2 linked regions of the Saccharomyces cerevisiae S288C genome follow. The protein of the gene in region 2 binds, or shares a complex with, the protein of the main gene of each other region. Each region holds a gene or a part of one and is shown on either strand. Other genes may lie near its edges. The genes, in order: RPN6 and RPN11. A codon is read from its position in the direction of its gene.

The links.
Region 1: the proteins of RPN11 (region 2) and RPN6 are in contact, whole or in part, in a cryo-EM structure (PDB 3J47), measured with the Saccharomyces cerevisiae proteins. Residues at the interface, in NP_116659.1 of Saccharomyces cerevisiae: Tyr251 (codon at 5,367), Ile255 (codon at 5,355), Glu258 (codon at 5,346), Lys259 (codon at 5,343), Thr262 (codon at 5,334), Glu265 (codon at 5,325), Leu266 (codon at 5,322), Arg269 (codon at 5,313); in NP_010186.1 of Saccharomyces cerevisiae: Thr408 (codon at 584), Ser411 (codon at 575), Glu414 (codon at 566), Leu415 (codon at 563), Gln418 (codon at 554), Leu419 (codon at 551), Lys421 (codon at 545), Val422 (codon at 542), Val423 (codon at 539), Asp424 (codon at 536), Gln425 (codon at 533), Leu426 (codon at 530).

Annotation. Positions count from the first base shown.
Region 1 is NC_001136.10:284,891-290,516, forward strand, and holds RPN6 (proteasome regulatory particle lid subunit RPN6), read right to left. Parts: upstream 1,806-5,626; coding exon 501-1,805; downstream 1-500. Other genes in the region: U4/U6-U5 snRNP complex subunit SNU23, read right to left, coding at 1-275; dolichyl-phosphate-mannose-protein mannosyltransferase PMT1, read left to right, coding at 2,169-4,622; putative dolichyl-phosphate-mannose-protein mannosyltransferase PMT5, read left to right, coding at 5,019-5,626. UniProt on the Saccharomyces cerevisiae protein: Component of the lid subcomplex of the 26S proteasome, a multiprotein complex involved in the ATP-dependent degradation of ubiquitinated proteins. In the complex, RPN6 is required for proteasome assembly.
Region 2 is NC_001138.5:151,406-159,509, reverse strand, and holds RPN11 (proteasome regulatory particle lid subunit RPN11), read right to left. Parts: upstream 6,118-8,104; coding exon 5,197-6,117; downstream 1-5,196. Other genes in the region: YFH7 (Yfh7p), read right to left, coding at 1-211; YFR006W (putative Xaa-Pro dipeptidase), read right to left, coding at 1,758-3,365; mRNA splicing protein SAD1, read left to right, coding at 3,637-4,983; type 1 protein phosphatase-activating protein YPI1, read left to right, coding at 6,386-6,853; linker nucleoporin NIC96, read right to left, coding at 6,975-8,104. UniProt on the Saccharomyces cerevisiae protein: Component of the lid subcomplex of the 26S proteasome, a multiprotein complex involved in the ATP-dependent degradation of ubiquitinated proteins.

The sequences.
Region 1 (5,626 bases), on a different chromosome or scaffold from region 2:
GTGTCTTTGAAGGTTAGGTTACAAATATCGCAGTAAAATCCGAACTTCTTTCCCCTCTTGAAAGACGATAAGCTCTCTGTATTTGCTGTTAGTTTCCTTTTATTTAGGTCTTTTAGCGAGCCCTTGATTAAATGATCGTAATTTGTATATTTGGATTTTAAAGCTTGTAATTCAATCGGTGTTAGCGTAGCCTTTAAGGATCGATCGTCATAGCCGCTTCTAGCCTGCTCAGCATACTCCTCTCTATCCCAAGTTCTTCTGCCAAAATTCGACATTAGCTTTCTCGAATTTTTGTCAGCTAAGGCTTGTAGGAACTTCTGGTTTTGATGAACTTTCGCATCAACTGTTTTCTATTTAGCGGCGCATTCGATTAAACTTCTTCCTTTCTTAGGAGAAAAAAAAGAAAAATCATACTTATGTATTTTCTGCATTTTATAAGTTTATTTAGGAATTCTTACTCTGGTACTTGTGAGTATACATACATATATATACATGTAAACCTAATACAAGACACTTGCCTTTTCAAATAGTTGATCGACGACTTTATTTAGTTGCCCGACTAATTCCAATGCAGAGTCGTACGTGGCATCCTGATTCGGAGTTTCGTAAACGTAAAGCCAACCATTACCTTGATCCAGAACACCGTAGAATATCTTATCTAGTATCATTTGGGAGAGCTTTCCTTCAACTTGTTGAGTATCCAGACCGATTATTTTGGAAATGTGGGATATTTCCACACATTCAAATGGCTCAATAATCTTACACAAATTGGACTCTAATAACGTGTCGTATAATGCATTGAAATGGGATCTTGTTAGTTCATCGCCCATTAGTTCCTTCTCGTATTGCTTTAGCGCCGTGTTGAAGTCTAAAAGCGATCTGTTGTTATAAGCCTCAGCGACAGCTTTCATGGCATCAATGCCTCGGGACTGGTACGTTTCCTTTGTGTATTTTGCGTTTAGGATGTTTTTTACGTCATCAATAAGGTTCAGCATGATCTTAGACAATAGCATGTATTTCAACACTTGACATGCCTTTTCGTAGGAATTATGCGTAGTCAAATTGTGGTAGCTTTCAAAACTTTCGAAGAAATACGAAAATGCAGTTTTGTAGTCTTTATCTTCACAGTGCAGGATACCACTCATCAAGTCCAGCTCCGCAACTGTTTGTGTAGGACAGTATATGGAGTTAGCGGCCGTCCTTGCTGCAGTCAACGAGGCCTTGGACTTGGCTAGATTCCTCAGTTTATGGTAAACTTTACTTTCCAATAGATGTACATCAACCAAAGAGGGCTTGTCGTCCAGCTTTTTGAACTCCCTCAAAAGATCGTTAATCAATGCTAATGAGTCCTTGTACTGTTTCTTTTGATAATGTAAGGTGGCCAATTTGATCGAGAGTGAATGCTTCAAAAACACCCTTTTTTCTCTCTTGGCAAATTCGATGCTTTTCTCGCACACAAAGATCTGATCGTCCAAGGAGTCCGGCACTTGCTCGAATTTTTCAATCAACGTTTTCAATACCTTTACCGTTTTGGATTTGGCAAATTGCATCATATACTCCGTAGAATGAGGAATAAACTCGCGCAATTTGTCCTTTGCACCCATAGTCACGTATAACTGTCCTAATTCCAATATGCTTGTCTCCTGTTCATTTCTACGCTTGTCATCCACACTGGCACCGGCAGCGGCGCTGCTCTGTGAGCTGTCTTTATCCAGCAGGCTCAAATAGACTTGTTCTGCCTCATTATACTGTTTTTCATTAACCAGTCTCCTGGCCTCTTCTAATTTCGAACCTGGCAGAGACATGAAGTTCCTCGTTTATAGATTAATCACCAATTGTCCTCTTTCAGCGCTTCTGTTAGTTGGCCTTATTTAACGGATCTTTGCTTCAATTACGCTTTCTACCAACATTTGCCACCCTTGGAACCAGAAGAGAATATACATCATTCGGGGTTGCCCTGCCCATTTATATCGTATATTGTGATGATATACCTTTTTTTTTTTTTTCGCTGCGTTTTTTTTCTCGACACGTGTCGAAGAAGAGTTTGGCGTTTCTAAGCAGATCTTGATTATTTTCGAGCAGCAAAACAAGACAAACAGGTGCATTGTTAAAGCGAGGTAGTATCAGAAGAGCCTATCAAGAAACAGCTAACAGCTACAAGCACGGTCATGTCGGAAGAGAAAACGTACAAACGTGTAGAGCAGGATGATCCCGTGCCCGAACTGGATATCAAGCAGGGCCCCGTAAGACCCTTTATTGTTACCGATCCGAGTGCCGAATTGGCCTCGTTACGAACCATGGTCACTCTTAAAGAGAAGCTGTTAGTGGCCTGTCTTGCTGTCTTTACAGCGGTCATTAGATTGCATGGCTTGGCATGGCCTGACAGCGTGGTGTTTGATGAAGTACATTTCGGTGGGTTTGCCTCGCAATACATTAGGGGGACTTACTTCATGGATGTGCATCCTCCTCTTGCAAAGATGTTGTATGCTGGTGTGGCATCGCTTGGTGGGTTCCAGGGTGATTTTGACTTCGAAAATATTGGTGACAGCTTTCCATCTACGACGCCATACGTGTTGATGAGATTTTTCTCTGCTTCTTTGGGGGCTCTTACTGTTATTTTGATGTACATGACTTTACGTTATTCTGGTGTTCGTATGTGGGTTGCTTTGATGAGCGCTATCTGCTTTGCCGTTGAAAACTCGTACGTCACTATTTCTCGTTACATTCTGTTGGACGCCCCATTGATGTTTTTCATTGCAGCTGCAGTCTACTCTTTCAAGAAATACGAAATGTACCCTGCCAACTCGCTCAATGCTTACAAGTCCTTGCTTGCTACTGGTATTGCTCTTGGTATGGCATCTTCATCCAAATGGGTTGGTCTTTTCACGGTTACATGGGTGGGTCTTTTATGTATCTGGAGACTATGGTTCATGATTGGGGATTTGACTAAGTCTTCCAAGTCCATCTTCAAAGTAGCATTTGCCAAATTGGCCTTCTTGTTGGGTGTGCCTTTTGCCCTTTATCTGGTCTTCTTTTATATCCACTTCCAATCATTAACTTTGGACGGGGATGGCGCAAGCTTCTTTTCGCCTGAATTTAGATCTACACTAAAGAACAATAAGATCCCCCAAAATGTCGTTGCTGATGTCGGCATTGGCTCCATTATCAGCTTGCGTCATCTCTCTACCATGGGCGGTTATTTGCATTCTCATTCACACAATTATCCAGCTGGTTCGGAACAACAACAAAGCACTTTATATCCTCACATGGATGCCAATAACGATTGGTTGTTGGAACTTTACAACGCACCCGGCGAATCTTTAACAACATTCCAAAACCTAACCGATGGTACCAAGGTCAGACTATTCCACACTGTTACAAGATGTAGATTACACTCTCATGACCATAAGCCACCCGTTTCAGAAAGCAGCGACTGGCAGAAGGAGGTTTCTTGTTATGGTTACAGCGGATTCGACGGTGATGCTAATGATGACTGGGTTGTTGAGATTGATAAAAAGAATTCTGCTCCTGGAGTTGCCCAAGAACGGGTCATAGCTTTGGACACAAAGTTTAGATTGAGACATGCTATGACAGGCTGTTATTTGTTTTCCCACGAAGTCAAGTTGCCAGCTTGGGGGTTCGAACAACAAGAAGTTACCTGTGCCTCCTCCGGTAGACATGATTTAACATTGTGGTACGTTGAGAACAACAGTAACCCATTGTTACCAGAAGATACCAAGCGTATTTCCTATAAACCTGCAAGCTTCATTTCTAAATTTATTGAATCCCATAAAAAGATGTGGCATATCAATAAAAATTTGGTCGAACCTCATGTTTATGAATCACAACCAACTTCATGGCCATTCTTGCTACGTGGTATAAGTTACTGGGGTGAAAATAACAGAAACGTCTATCTATTAGGTAATGCGATCGTATGGTGGGCTGTCACCGCTTTCATCGGTATTTTCGGATTGATTGTTATCACTGAGCTGTTCTCGTGGCAGTTAGGTAAACCAATTTTGAAGGACTCCAAGGTTGTTAACTTCCACGTTCAGGTTATTCACTACTTATTGGGTTTTGCCGTCCATTATGCTCCATCTTTCTTAATGCAACGTCAAATGTTTTTGCATCACTACTTACCTGCTTATTATTTCGGTATTCTTGCCCTTGGCCACGCCTTGGACATAATAGTTTCTTATGTTTTCCGCAGCAAGAGACAAATGGGCTACGCGGTAGTGATCACTTTCCTTGCTGCTTCTGTGTATTTCTTCAAGAGCTTCAGTCCAATTATTTACGGTACACCATGGACTCAAGAATTGTGTCAAAAATCGCAGTGGTTGTCTGGTTGGGACTACAATTGTAACACATACTTTTCTTCATTAGAAGAGTACAAAAACCAAACCTTGACTAAACGTGAATCTCAACCTGCCGCCACTAGTACAGTTGAAGAAATCACTATAGAAGGGGACGGTCCGTCGTATGAAGATCTCATGAACGAGGATGGCAAGAAAATCTTTAAAGACACAGAAGGTAATGAACTAGATCCAGAAGTTGTCAAAAAAATGTTGGAAGAGGAGGGAGCTAACATTTTAAAAGTAGAAAAAAGGGCTGTTTTGGAATAAATTTCCCAGTACTCTCCACATTTTTATGTAAAGTCTTCTATAAGCTCTCGAGCGTATAATTAAAAACGAAAATAGACAAAAAAAACATCATGAATAAAAAAAATGTCTTGAAGCTGACTATATTGTCCATCTGCGTTTAGAGACACGTATTCTATTTCGCTCAAATAAGTATGATCTGCAAGTAGTTTCAGTGGTATTATCATTTCGCACCGTTTTTTTTCCAAGAACTCGTTTACGTGCCGCGAAAAGTCTATCGAATAGGCATTCGAGAACAATAGAAAAGGAACAGAAGCGTAGTACATATTATGCATAGACCCGTTTCTTTTCTTCTTTTTCGAAAATATTCTTATTGATTTAACAATTAAGCAGGTGTGTAAGATCATAACTGCTTTAAAGATGAATAAAGAGCATTTGCTGAAGGTGGATCCCATCCCCGATGTGACTATTAAACGCGGCCCTTTGAGGTCTTTTCTCATAACAAAACCCTGTGATAATTTGAGTTCATTACGAACAGTTACTTCATCTAAGGAAAAGCTTCTAGTTGGCTGTTTGCTGATATTTACTGCCATCGTAAGGCTACACAATATCTCCCTGCCAAATAGTGTTGTTTTTGGTGAAAATGAAGTTGGTACATTTGTTTCTCAATACGTGAACAACATATTCTTCACCGATGTTCATCCTCCTTTAGTGGCAATGCTATATGCAACCGTGTCCTCTGTTTTTGGTTATAAAGGGCTTTTCAATTATGGGAACATTGGTACTGAATACACGGCAAACGTTCCATACGTCGCGATGAGGTTCTTTTCTGCTACTTTGGGCATCGTGTCCGTTTTGGTATTATACTTAACGTTACGAGTTTCTGGCGTGAAAATTGCGGTAGCTGCCATTTGTGCAGTATGTTTTGCAATTGAAAACTCCTTTGTAACGTTGTCTCGTTTCACCTTGATAGAGGGACCCTTTGTTTTTTTCATGGCATGTGCAGTTTATTTCTTTAGAAGATCGGA
Region 2 (8,104 bases):
GTTTCAACCTATCATTAACCTCAATAACATTTGGATGCTCTGACAAAAATGTGTGATATTTTTCATTTATAATTTGACAAAGTTCTTCCGCAATAGTAGACTTACCGGAGCCTGGAGAACCGACTAGGATAACACAAACCCTATAATTATCTTCGATACGGTTATCCAATAGCTGAAGAACGTCGTCTGCTAGTTTATGCGTATCGACCATTGTGGCTAGAATGATCCTCTGGTATGATACAGGATAAAATATGTATAGTACTAGTGAAATTAACCTAACAAGGTTACTTCATTTTTCCCGAAGAGCAATACTTGATGATGCTTAAAGGTACGCATTTAATGAACGAAAAATAACACAGTTCGTTTGAGTAAAAAGAAAGCTCACAAAATTTAATACAGAAAAAAAATTATATGTAAACTGTGGACAAGTCTGATAAGCCCAGATAACCCTTCTATTTCACGAAGGTGCAAGTGCGATTGAAAAGAATTGTTTCATGGCATTAGCTATCAGGACACGAATGCATAATCGTCAAGATATTATCGGTATGCAGCAGTTGAAGTTGTTATTAATGTTATAAGGCACCATCATATGTGGCTTTGGGATGATCTTCCGCCGATTGGTGTTCATATTACAAAAATTTTATCACGCTCGAGGTTAGAAGATGGCATCAATTATGAGGCATGAATAACAAGGTTTAAGCACTAGTAATCATAGCGGATGCTGAAACGCCAAGGTTAATGAGTTCATAAGATTAACGAATAACGAGAACTTAGGTATGAGTCAAAATTTTACTTTCATAATAGATTTATCGAAAATGTGATCAATTTTCTGAATAATTTGATAACTGTTGGGATTGCATTGTTGATCAAGACCATAATATTATGTACACAGAATATGCTAGAAGTCTCCTCGAGGATGTAGGAATCCTCAAAATGGAATCGGTAGTTCTACATAATAATATTACGATTATTCCCCATTCCGTTTTATATGTTTCATTATGCTATTACATTATCAATCTTGCATTTCAGCTTCCATTAGGGTTGATAACTGTTTCTCAACTTTTATGTCATCTTCCTGAACCGCATATGATAATATGCCAATAACATGAATATTACCAAATGGATGGCATTTCAAATTATTACTTTAACAAAAAGGAACCAAATAACTCATATAATAATTACCTATTTCTCAAATAGGTGGACGACGGTTTATCCAATTCCAACAATAATAGTAATTACTAATATTATGTAGATTTTTCGATCCAAGTCCTCGAGGGCGACTCATAGGAATGCTATCTTCAATCAACAATGACATCCGAATAATTATCTCAAGTTTTACAACATTCTCAAATATTATGGTAAAAAGAAAACTTTGCAATCTGCAAAATTCTCGAATTCTGAATCGCTAGATTTCCTTATGAGAAAAGTCACATTTAAAGGTGTTAGCAGCTAGTTATTATAGTCCTATAGTTCCTGTAACAATGAATTTTTCATAAATAGAAGCGGATTTAGCTCAGTTGGGAGAGCGCCAGACTGAAGAAAAAACTTCGGTCAAGTTATCTGGAGGTCCTGTGTTCGATCCACAGAATTCGCATTCATTTTTTGCTCTTCGGGGTTGGTCCTTAATTTTTTCAGTGCCATTCCTTATATTTCCAAATCTAGTTAAATGGTGAATCCAAGATTATAAAAAAAATATACAATTCTGTGTACAAAAGAATATACTAAACTTCTAGAAGCGAGTAAAAAAAAGTTAATACCTAAACGATTACGTGGAAACCTGAACGGGGTTTCTTCAAACCTTTTTGAACGATTTTTTCAATTTCATCAGGGTCAGAAGTAATACCAGTTAAGTTCTCGTAACCATCTTTGGTAACAAGGATATCATCTTCAATTCTAACACCACCGACATACATGTATCTTTTCAATACGCTCATATCGACAACTTCCAATCTTTCGGGGTGCTTTTCCAAAAATTCTTTGATCAAAAATTGATTAAAGTAGCAACCTGGTTCATTAGTGATAACCATATTTTCTTTCAAAGGACGGCGGATTCTTAAATATCTAAACATTGGATCTGGGTCGTCATAGTTTGGATTACCACCAACGTCGTGTACATCAAGCCCCAACATATGCCCTAGTCCATGGGGATAAAAAGCGCAAGAAGCTCTTCTTTTAAAGATTTCGTCCTCAGAAAACTCTTTCTTGAAAATACCCATACTTAAGAAATGTTTAATAAGAACCTTGTGTGTCAGTGCATGTAAATCGTCCCATTTAGCACCAGGTTTAATCCTTTCCATTGCTTGGTTTTGCATGTCAAGAACGGTTTCGTAAACTTCACGATGTTCCGCAGTAAACTTGCCTGAAGTTGGGAAACATCTGGTGATATCACTTGTATATTGTCTCCATTCTGCACCTGCATCAATTAAGATGGAATGTTTACCTTTGATATCTTCTGAATTCTTGACGTAATGTAAAGTGCCACATGCCGGTCCAGAACAACAAATGGGGTCATAGCCCAAAGAACGACCACCTTGACGGGTTGCATGGTATTCAAATTCAGCTTGTATTTGTAACTCGTTCAGTTCGATGGGCAACGCGGACATAACGGCCAAATGGCTCTTGTCTGAAATCTGACAAGCTTTTCTGATGCTTTCAATTTCATACCAATCCTTAATTGCTCTAGTTTCATCCATAGCATAAAAGAAGTTAGGGTCTGAAGGAATTAGTGATCTTGCAATATTCTCGTCATGAACATTGTCCAAATCGGTTGTAAAGATAGCGAAGTCTTGCAATTCTTTAAATTTTTTCCCCAGATCAGATATGTACAAGGCCTCATCAATGTCAAACACTCTCATTGCCTCATCCAAACTCAAAGGCATACCGCTCCATATGACATCTTCTTCATCGATGTTTGGCAAAAACAATGTCAGCTTATCTGTGCTACAGTTAAACAATATCGCCGAAGCAGGTATATCAACACCTGACAAATGATAAAAATATCTATTCTGTCTAAAATCTTTGTTGGTGTCACAATACTTGTTTCCCTCTAATTCTTCACCAGCAATAAAAAATGCTGTGGATATCTTTGATAGCTTCGGATTGCGATTTAACAACAAATCTTTAACCCTCAAGTTATGTTCTTTCGCAGGATACTTATGATTTCTTATCTTGACCGGAATTTCATTTACGTTTGCTACCTCGCCCATTTCTTCCCCTTTTTCTTTACTGTAATAATACTTATCTTTGTACTCTGGCTGTAAAATTCCTCTTGTTCTTTGCCGTTCTCCACGTTTGAAATACTTCACCAAGCCAAAGAAAAACACCAGGGATCCGAAAACAACAAGAGAGATTGGTTCAAGGCACATCACTCCAACAACAGATCAGGTATATACCTATATTTCCCAGGTTTTCCTACAGCTCGACCTGGAAAAAAGATGACACAGTTTCTGAAGAATCGCCGTAGCGGAAAGTGTCAATTGAACCTCCCTCGCGTATAGTAAGCAATGCCAAAAAAAAAAAAAAAACTGGAAAATCTTGATAAAAAAATGACGAAATAGGAAAAAAAATTGGCAGCAATCTAACCATGCTCTTCATGGTTCATCATTTAGTGGGCGTTAACCTAAAGCGCTGTTTATAATGGAGGTTGATAACAAAAGGAGACATTCAGAAGATGAGTTAAAACAGGAGGCAGTAAAAAAGATAAAGTCTCAGGAACCAAACTATGCCTATCTTGAGACTGTAGTAAGAGAAAAACTAGATTTCGATTCTGAGAAAATTTGCTGCATTACTCTGTCCCCTTTGAATGTATATTGTTGCCTCGTGTGTGGACATTATTATCAGGGGAGACATGAAAAGAGTCCTGCTTTCATACATTCAATTGATGAAAACCATCACGTCTTCTTGAATTTGACAAGTTTGAAGTTTTACATGTTGCCGCAAAATGTCCAAATTTTACATGACGGTGAGGTTCAATTGTTGAACAGCATAAAATTTGCAGCTTATCCGACTTATTGTCCAAAAGATCTAGAAGATTTTCCGAGACAGTGTTTTGATTTGAGCAATCGCACATATCTGAATGGATTTATAGGGTTCACCAATGCGGCAACTTATGACTATGCGCATAGTGTATTGCTTTTGATATCGCACATGGTTCCAGTGCGGGACCACTTCCTACTGAATCATTTTGATAATCAAGGGGAATTTATCAAAAGGTTATCCATATGTGTAAAGAAAATTTGGTCCCCTAAACTATTCAAACATCATCTTTCAGTTGACGATTTTGTATCCTATTTGAAAGTTAGAGAAGGTTTAAATTTAAATCCTATAGACCCGCGTCTCTTCCTTTTGTGGCTATTCAATAAAATTTGCTCGTCCTCGAACGACTTAAAGTCAATTTTAAACCATTCTTGTAAAGGCAAAGTAAAGATAGCAAAAGTTGAAAATAAGCCTGAGGCCAGTGAGTCTGTTACAGGAAAAGTCATTGTCAAACCATTTTGGGTTCTGACTCTCGATTTGCCGGAGTTTTCACCCTTTGAAGATGGCAACAGCGTTGATGATCTCCCACAAATAAATATCACTAAATTATTGACTAAATTTACTAAGTCAAGAAGCTCCTCTACTAGCACCGTTTTTGAACTAACGCGATTACCGCAGTTTTTAATATTTCATTTCAATAGGTTTGACCGTAACAGTGATCATCCTGTCAAAAATAGAAACCAAACGTTGGTGGAATTTTCCAGTGAACTTGAAATTTTGCACGTCAAGTATCGCTTAAAAGCAAATGTGGTCCATGTGGTCATTAAACAACCATCCACAGATGGAAACGCATTTAATGGTGATGAAAAAAGCCATTGGATTACTCAGCTGTATGATAACAAAAGTGAAAAATGGATAGAAATAGATGGCATAAATACGACAGAGAGAGAAGCCGAGCTTTTATTTTTGAAGGAAACGTTTATACAAGTATGGGAAAAGCAAGAGTGAAAGAAAAGAAAGTAAAAAAAAAAATTGGCACTGGGACTACCAGTAGCCATTTCATTTTTACTGTTATTTAAGGAGCCTTTTCCCTCCTAACGCGTTTTCTCTTTCCCATTCATTCCATTAACTACTTCATTAGAATTTTTAGAAAAATACAATATAATATATATGTAGTGGGCTTTCTAGTTATTTAATGCATAATGACTTTATAAAATTTGTTTATTTAATTGCCACTGAATTAACACCCGCCGTCAGCACAGAAACAATATTGTTCTCTAGTGTCTCATCTGCTGTTTCGGAAAGGTGCTTCTTTGGATCTTGCCTACCAACGTATCTTGTCTTAAGTTCTTCTTCGGTTAATTCCTTTTCCTCTTCTATTCTCTTAGAGTACTGTTCGGCTATCTTAACCATACTCTTTGTAGCAGCCAAATTTGATTCTTCTTTTTCTTCATAATCGTACATCTTAAGACCTGATTGCCACTGTTCTTTATGTAAGTTCATTAACATCTTGGTTTCCTTCGCGGTTTTATGATAATCAATATTTAAAGAATAGTAATGCCTATTCAGACCGTGAATTAAGGCTTGAATGTTGGCCTTGTTCAATAAGCCTGTGTTGGAGGTTGTTTGTCTAGGCTCTAAGTTATTTATCAATGCGCCCGTGTCAATCAATCTAAAAGCATCGATGACAACTTTTCCCTTAACGGATTGAATAGGGTCAACAACGACAGCAACAGCTCTGCTGTTTAGTTGTTCAAAAGATTTTTGAGTATTAACATCAACAGAAGATAGCCAACAGCCAAACCCTGGATGAGAGTGGTACCAGCCAACGACCATTTGGTCTCTGCCCGTTTGTTTTAACATGTCCATCATCTTCGCTTGGAAAACATCATCGACAGCCTCAACAGAAACTCCGGTACCCGATTGAGGCATCGCAAACACGTCCACAACGTTAACCGTATAATCATCGACAAACTCACCTAACATCAACCCCATGACTTCCATGGGAACACCAGCTCTACCATGCTTTAGCATCTTTAAAAGCGCAATCGAAGAAATATAAACAGTTTCTTTCGTATCGTCACGGCCGGTGTCCGCGGACCCCACCTTACTATTCATCATCAATCTCTGTAGTCGTTCCATTATGTCTCGTCTTTCTTGTTAAGTCCTCTTAATTGTGTTATCACCTGCTATTTTTCTTTCTCAATATTAATACTGGTCATAAACCGTTTCTTAGCTTAAAGGCTTTTCTTGTGAATTTGCCACCTTGGAGGTCCGAAATCATCAGCGACGTGCGTTTCAGTATAAACAAGGGGCCGTATTTATCATTTAGAAACAATTCGAGTCAAGGGTCCCAAGAGCTTATAACTGCCAGGAGTTGCGAGCTAAGTCTTCAATTAAGTCTATAAGGATGAGTGGAAATCAAATGGCTATGGGATCAGAACAACAACAGACCGTAGGGTCCCGAACGGTGAGTGTGGAAGAGGTTCCCGCAGTTTTGCAGCTTCGAGCAACTCAAGATCCTCCAAGAAGCCAGGAGGCAATGCCTACAAGGCACAATGTAAGATGGGAAGAAAATGTGATTGACAATGAAAACATGAATAAAAAAAAGACCAAGATATGCTGCATTTTTCATCCACAAAATGAGGATGAAGAAGAGTGCAACCATCATTCAGATGATGATGGATCCTCTTCTTCCGGATCCTCTTCTTCAGAATCTGAGAATGAGAAGGATCTTGACTTTAACGAACGTAGACAAAGAAGATTGGAAAGGCGCCATCGTAAACTTGAGAAAAAAAGGTCATATAGCCCCAATGCTTATGAAATCCAACCAGATTATTCTGAATACAGGCGAAAACAGCAGGAAAAGAAGGACTGAGGCTTTGTACAACGAAAGCCAAAATATTCGATGAAGCAGCAAATGGCTTTTTATACTTTTACTAAGTATGCGCGCATACTGATATATAGATATAAACAAAAATATACAATATTTAAAAAAATCATAGAGAGACGTCTATATTAATTAAAGTGCTGTACGTTTCCCTTGGCATTCTGTATTGAATCATACCAGCATAAATCATACATTGTCTCGCAACATTTTTTAAGGAATCAATTTGTTGACCTTTTGTGGACGATTGATACTTACTTTCGTTCAAGATATGAATCATGTTCGATATACAGCTTAGAGTGATAATCAACAAATTTGGAATATTTTTCACAATGTTGTCATCTAAATTAGAGAAATCTTGTGCTTTCTTTCTAGCAGATAGCTCGTCTGAGAAAGGAAGTAAATCCAATAACTCCATTTGGGATAGTGTTTCTTGCCATTGTTTATTGAAATATAGCTCCCTGATAGAGGAGATATTTAAGAGCAGCATACAAATTTCTTTGTTTTTAACATGAATCTGTCTCGATATACCAGCATTATCAAAATATATGGACGCCATCCTCCTAGCCAACAAGACAGGATTCGTCTCGCTATTGTCATCAGGTCCAACCAATGGTTGATCTAAATCTGACGCACTAAGTGTATCACTTAATAAACTATTGACGAGGGTAATAACTATGTCATATTCTTCAGCAAGCTGGTACAGTAATATACTATCATATATTCTGCCGTCTTCGTCTGCCCTTCTTGCTGCTTGTTCTGTAATTGTATGCAAAAACTCCTTTTCATCACGAACGTGTAATAAAGGTTGTCTTTCTTCGATCACCCCCGGAATTCTAGCTCCATCGCGTCCAATTTTACCCAAAAGAACAGTAAATTCCTTAGTTTCCAATACTAGCTCCCTCAACGCCTCATGGCATAACTCGACATCGGTAGGTCCTTCATTTAGAGTTATTAAAACCAAATATTCGACAGCAACTCTAGGATCTGAATACCTAAAGGACTTGGTATAATTAGCTAGTATGTTTGCGAACCTGATATCCCTTTTGGGTTTTTTGGTCAAGCGCGTTGAGCTATCAATCTTAAATAGCTTCAAGCTTGCTAGCCCTATTGCCAAATGCACCGCATCCATTTCACTAAATGTATAAGTATAGTCAATAGCCAATCCATAGAGCCCACTTAACAAAAGGGTCTGTAAGTAATAGTTTGAGAAGCGAGATGGTCCATACGATATTATTATAT